Linked DNA regions of Oryctolagus cuniculus. The protein of the gene in region 2 interacts with the protein of the main gene of each other region in a biochemical or structural test. Links are inferred from orthologs where the notes say so. Each region holds a gene or a part of one and is shown on either strand. Other genes may lie near its edges. The genes, in order: MAPK10 and MAPK8IP3.

What was found.
Region 1: the proteins of MAPK8IP3 (region 2) and MAPK10 form a complex in vitro, tested with the Homo sapiens proteins (3 studies listed by BioGRID, with this or other methods). The link is inferred for Oryctolagus cuniculus from reciprocal best matches to the Homo sapiens genes MAPK8IP3 and MAPK10.

What each region holds. Positions count from the first base shown.
Region 1 is NC_091439.1:81,604,654-81,608,570, reverse strand, and holds the start of MAPK10 (mitogen-activated protein kinase 10), read left to right. Parts: upstream 1-1,253; 5' UTR 1,254-1,693; intron 1,694-3,917. UniProt on the Homo sapiens protein: Serine/threonine-protein kinase involved in various processes such as neuronal proliferation, differentiation, migration and programmed cell death.
Region 2 is NC_091450.1:33,394,548-33,397,074, reverse strand, and holds part of MAPK8IP3 (C-Jun-amino-terminal kinase-interacting protein 3), read left to right. Parts: intron 1-403; coding exon 404-586; intron 587-663; coding exon 664-853; intron 854-965; coding exon 966-1,085; intron 1,086-1,155; coding exon 1,156-1,236; intron 1,237-1,309; coding exon 1,310-1,377; intron 1,378-1,461; coding exon 1,462-1,610; intron 1,611-1,827; coding exon 1,828-1,999; intron 2,000-2,072; coding exon 2,073-2,186; intron 2,187-2,293; coding exon 2,294-2,332; intron 2,333-2,422; coding exon 2,423-2,527.

The DNA.
Region 1 (3,917 bases), on a different chromosome or scaffold from region 2:
TCACCATATATATATATATATATATATGTATATATATATTTGTAATTTTCTTCCTGAACAAAACAGCAGTAACAATAACAAAAACACTAAAAACTTTTGTGGTCCCATGCAGTTTATGATGTACTTCACTGTCCACAATTACTACCAAGTTTATGTGTTGACTGTTATGATTTTTCCATTAACATATGGAGAAAGCCCCTGACTCATATAAGTAGGATAGCTCTAAAACCATTTGGATTTGTGTAAACCCAGCCCTAGGACTGGATTGCAATAGTTAGAAACCCACCCCAAAGGTGTTTAAGTGAACAAAGAATTGCATCATATCATGTAATTTGAGAAATCCAAGGGCTGGAGTTGGTTTCAGCAAATTACATAGTGAAAATTTTCCTTATGTACAACAAGATTTTAAAAAATTTGATGAACTTAATTTTTTTTTTTTTTAGTAAAACTAGTGGACTGTTCTTGTTGCAAGAAACTATTTATAGATATAAAATTCTCTGGAGACTTAAAATACCCTTGTAATATTCAAAAACAAAGCAAATTACTTAAATAAAATTTGAGATATTTGCAGCAAATAGTAATAATGTTATTTGTACCAGTTTTCCAGGGAATTATCTGCAATTAAAAAAAAATCTTGATTTGTTAAATAATCAGTATTTTCTTTCTACACTCAAATTGCAAGCTCAGCATTAGTCTGGTGAGTTTGGTTTAGTGGTTGTTTATCAGGATTTTTAGGAAAACAGCAAACAGGGAAGGGGAAGAGTGCGGTGCAAACGACCCTGGGGTCCAGGCAAGACTAGTGCTCCCTTCTCCCCCGACGTGATTGTGCATCTAGCTTGTTTTGATATTTGGAGGTACTGCATGGGTCTTCCTGCTGTTTACAAAAAGCTCCAGAGAGGTGAAAAGCAGAGGTTGCCTGCATTTGAATATTTTTTTCCGTCTGCGAATTTGCGAATTTGTTCCTCAGTCAGGGCTGCAGGGCAAAGGGACAGAGCTGCGCCGAGGAAATTGTTTTTCTGTGTTGTGCAGAAGGCTCCCGGATGGAGTTGCAGATTCCGGCTTCCAAGGCACCCCGTTCTTTTACATTTTGCCCGGTCCTCATTTCAGCAGAAAACGCTGGAGCTTGTAGCCGCACATAGACTTTTTCCTCTCTCTCTTCCCCCCTTGTACCCCTCCCTAGACCTCTCTGGGCTTTGACGTCATGTGTGCTCCTTTCGGTTGCCATAGAAACCCCATTCCCCAAGCCCTCTGTCCGTCTCCTCTGGTAGGTTCCACAATGGTACCGGCAGCATCACGCTGCACAATGGTTTCCAGGCAGTGAAAGAGGGTGATTCAGCAAGCCACTCGTCCTCGTCGTCATCTTTTTTTTTCCTTTTCTTTTCTAAACCTCCCCTTCTCTTTTTATTTTTATGGGGGTGGGTGGTGCTTATTACATGCTTACCTTTTTCTTTTCTTTTTTCATTTTTACAAATTTCTTTTTTTCGCCTCACCCCTCAATTTCTAGGGGTGTGAGTGAGTTTAAGATTGGGCTTTCTTGGAAATCACCTGTCCATCATTAATTTTAAACCATTTGCCCACCTCTAAGGAATCTCCTCCTTGTCACAGTTCGGAATGTGGTTAATGAGAAGCAAGTAGGGAGGATTTCTGGGGCAAAGACTGCCGGATCAGGACCCTAGTTCTCAGGCACGGAATGGTAGGTGTCTATTTGCTCATTCTCGGCTCCGACCTGGGTTTGGAGGGTGGGGTGATTGCTCCTGGTGGGGTGGGAGGGGGAGTTGAAGTGGGGAGGTGGGCAGGGAGATGGGGTGGGAAGCAGGTGAATCAAGCGAACTCTCCAAGGCCAGAAACCACCAGCATTTTCCTCTGTGCCGCACACCTCTTCCTAGACCCGGGCGTGTTGAAGCCTTGCTGTTTGGAGTGAGGGGTGACAGAAGGTGGGAGGGAGCATTCTTATTGTGACCAGGGGACTTTAGACCAATGCACAGCTATAGAAGGGAAGATCTTGAGGAGCAAATACATTGGGGGGTGGAGGAGGAGGAGGAGGAGAAGAGAGAAAACAGCTGTGCTTGTCAGAAGTGCTGACCTCAGTACCATTTCTGAGAATTGCTATGGGTTCCATAAAACATTAAAAAAAAATCATGTCTTTTAGTACGCATTTATGTTTACTCCCTGAGAGGTATAACTTAAATAAATATTTGGAATTATGTTTAAGTAAGGGATGGTAATTATATGTATTTTAGGTGCAAAAGCAATGGCACTACTCTTGCAGAGCAACTCCAGGTTAAATCTGGGATGGGAAGAGGAGCACAGAACAGGGGTCAGGCTAGAGATAAGACGAATCATTGACACTGCAGTCACATAGGTAAGGGGTCACTTTAAGAAAGTGATCTCCTAGTCACACCAGGCAGATTTCTTCTTCATTGTTTTTTAATGGCAAGATTCCCAGGTATTCTATACTGGGATACTGTGTCCCCTAGAAATGTCAGAGCTATTTTGGAAAAAAAAATACAGGTGTATCATAGTCAGTGAGCATGTCAGTTTATCAGAATATTGGTATTTGTGCCTTCAGGAAAATAAATGTGATATATTGGAAAATCTTCAACTAAGTCAGATTATATAGATAGTCCAAGAAAATTATATATATATATATACATATATATTTATCCTTTTTCCTTTGAATCTGAAGACAGAGTCTCTGTTTTTACATCCTTAAACAAATAACTTCCCAAGGTACGGCAGTTGCAGCCACAGGAAAAGAATGGCTTGTCCCATGGCAGTAGGCTCTGGAGCTGTCACAGGGCTGTTTACATGGGCAGCCTTTGCTGCAGAGCCTGGCAATGTCTATACAGCAGCCCTGTCTGCTTCTGGTGTGTTGATGGTAACTTTCACGAGCTGACGGGAAAGAGGCAGGCTAAGTCATATGGGACAGGCCACCGCTGAGACACAAGGAAAATGGGTGTTGGTACACCAGGCATTGCCAGCCCAAGGTCCAGTTTCTCCCTGCCAGCTGCTGGACCATGGAATATCCCACAGAATGCTGACCAATGGCCTAAAATGGTTGCAGTGGTGACCATTTCGCCCAGGGAGTCTTCTGTAAATTTTCTGCTTTAGGTAAGCATGCATGTTGTGAGTATAGGTAGCAGGGCTCCTGAGTGAGCTCACAGGCTTCTGACCCCTGGGTCTTAGGACTGGACAGTTTGAATGGAGCAATTCTGCTGCCCCTCGTATGTACTCCCTTCTTTACCTTGAGCTTATTCTCAGAATGGACAGAAAGTCTTGGGTTATCTTCTTTGATCACATGGTGCAAACGGGATTTTTGCTCCCCCACAATGAAACTAGAAAATCAGATGACAAAGGTGGCATGACCTTAATTATTAGCCTTCCTGTTTCCTCATTTACATATCCTTCCCTCCTGCTGGTGCAAATTAAAGTATCTTTGAGGGGCTTCCTGTTCTTACAAAATCTTCACAGTTTCAGTACAAAGATTCTTGGTGATGAGGCGATAAGAAATGAGATGCAGAGTGGAGACATCAGCTGCCTCCAGCTTCCTGCCTGCTCCCCCCAAGAGCAGCATCTGCTGCTGGGAGGAGTGTGTTTGCCTCACTGGAAGGGGATGTTTATGAGCAGATCCCAGAGGGACTGAGTGTGGTTTTTGCTGTCATTGTCTGGTACGTCTGTAGCTATCAGTATTTAAAGGTTTCATAGTACGTGGTCCATATTTTTCAAGGTTAGAGTGAATCAGGAGTGTGTGGGTGCAATAGCATATAAGTATTTAAAATTTACAGGACATTTCATGGGATTTCCCTTGTTAGTGTATCCTTCAGGAATATCATATGTAAAAGGAATTTCTTTAGATAATATGAAAGAGCTCCCCATGTTTAAAGGCACACATATATTTTTAAAGTTTTATCGTGGTT
Region 2 (2,527 bases):
CGGCACGGACCACAGCTAAAACCACTCCAAAGGCTCATGCTGATGCGAAACCTCCCCCTGCAACACGTCCACACATGGTAGAGGCTGGCAGAGGGGCCGAGGAGGGGCGGGGCTTTCCTCCTGATAGACAGCAGGCTCATCCCAGGGCCCACGGCTCACTGGCGCCCAGGCTCCAGGAAGACGTCCCACAGGGCTTCAGGCAGTGCCATGGAGCTGGGCAGCTCTGAGTGGACAGCCAGAGTCCAGCTGGGAGGGAGCAGGTGGCTGGCCTGAGCAGGTGGCCCCATGCAGGGACCCAGTCCATCCTCGTTCAGGTGGACTAAGACCCTGCAGCCCCAGGTTCGTGAGCTCTGGGTGTGGCCTCCGCGGGGGCTCACAGGGCTGTGACTCCCCCTGCCCCCAGCTGCCAGCGACAGCGACTACCCTCCGGGGGAGATGTTCCTGGACAGCGAGATGAACCCCGAGGACTCTGGTGCCGACGGCGTGCTGGCCGGCATCACCCTGGTGGGCTGCGCCACCCGCTGCACCGTGCCACGCAGCAGCTGCTCCTCCCGAGGGGACACCCCCGTGCTGGACAAGGGGCAGGGTGAGTGCTGGGTGCCTCGGGCTCTCTGGCCCTCGTCGCTGTCTCTGCCCAGCCCAAGCTCACCCCTCCTCCCACAGGAGAAGTGGCTGCCGTCGCCAACGGGAAGGCCAACCCTTCGCAGTCCACAGAGGAAGCCACGGAAGCCACAGAGGTGCCAGACCCCGGGCCCAGCGCGCCAGAGGCGGCTGCTGTGCGGCCCGGGACCCTCACGGAGCACGTCTTCACCGACCCAGCCCCAACCCCGTCCGCAAGCACCCAACCTGACAGGTGGGCCCTCCGGACAGGAGCAGAGGGAGGCTGGCCACGGCGGGCAGGGCCTGGGGATCCCAGGGCAGGCGCGTGCTCCGAGGGCCACCTGTGGCCATCGTCCCTCCCACAGTGAGAATGGCCCAGAGCCGGACGGGAGCGTTGCTCAGCCGGAGCCGGAGCCCAGTGGGGACCCTGCGGGGGCCAGCAGCAGCGCCGCGCCCACCATGTGGCTGGGAGCCCAGAATGGCTGGTAGGTGGTGCGGAGGGGGTGGGGGCAGAGGGGCGGGGAGCCTCTGGCCCACCGCCCGCTCCTCCCACAGGCTCTATGTGCACTCGGCCGTGGCCAACTGGAAGAAGTGTCTGCACTCCATCAAGCTGAAGGACTCCGTGCTCAGCCTGGTGTACGTGACCCCGAGTTGGGGGCGGGGGGTCGGGAGGGGTCCTCGCTCAGCCTGAGCCCCCCTCCCGTTGCAGGCATGTCAAAGGCCGAGTGCTCGTGGCCCTGGCGGATGGAACTCTGGCCATCTTCCACCGTGGCGAGGGTAAGCCTGGCCGCTCAGCCTGGCGTGCGTAGGGGTGGTGTGCGGGCCCCGCCAGGCTGAGCGGCTGTCGCGGGCTCTCTGCAGATGGCCAGTGGGACCTGAGCAACTACCACCTGATGGACCTGGGCCACCCGCACCACTCCATCCGCTGCATGGCCGTCGTGTACGACCGTGTGTGGTGTGGCTACAAGAACAAGGTGCACGTCATCCAGCCCAAGACCATGCAGGTGGAGGTGAGGCCGGGCAGCTCTGCCGCAGGTCATGTGCAGGCCCCGCCCCTGCCCCTTGGCCTCCCCCAGGGGCCTGGCCCTCCGTGAGCCAGGCAGGTGCTGGGTGGGGGCTTGGGGGCGGCCCCCTGGCAGCGTGACCCCGAGGCTGCGACAGGCAGTTCCAGGTTCCCCGCCCCTTCCGGTCCCTCCCACTCCATGACCAGCCTCCACCACCCCGCAGAAGTCATTCGACGCCCACCCACGGCGGGAGAGCCAGGTGCGGCAGCTGGCGTGGATTGGCGACGGGGTGTGGGTGTCGATCCGCCTGGACTCCACGCTGCGGCTGTACCACGCCCACACCCACCAGCACCTGCAGGACGTGGACATCGAGCCCTACGTCAGCAAGATGCTGGGTGAGGGGCTGTGCTGGGTGGGGCAGCGTGGGGGCCCCAGCCCCGGCACACACACTGACCACTCCCCCCACAGGCACCGGCAAGCTGGGCTTCTCTTTCGTGCGCATCACGGCCTTGCTCATTGCCGGCAACCGCCTCTGGGTGGGCACTGGCAACGGAGTCGTCATCTCCATCCCCCTGACGGAGAGTGAGTGACCCCCGCCTGCCCCGGGCCTGCGCGGGCTCCTGCCCAGGGTGGGGCTCCGCGACCTGGCTCCTGATGGCCTCTCCTCCCCCTTCTGCCTCCCTGCCCAGCTGTGGTCCTGCACCGAGGCCAGCTCCTGGGGCTCCGAGGTAAGTGCAGGGCGCCCACCCCGGCCCCGAGCGGCTGCGGCGTCCGTGCTCCCGCCGGCCGGCTCAGCCCCTCTGGCTCCTCTGTCTCAGCCAACAAGACGTCCCCCACCTCTGGGGAGGGGGCCCGCCCCGGAGGCGTCATCCACGTGTACGGGGACGACAGCGGCGACAAGTCCGCCAGCAGCTTCATCCCCT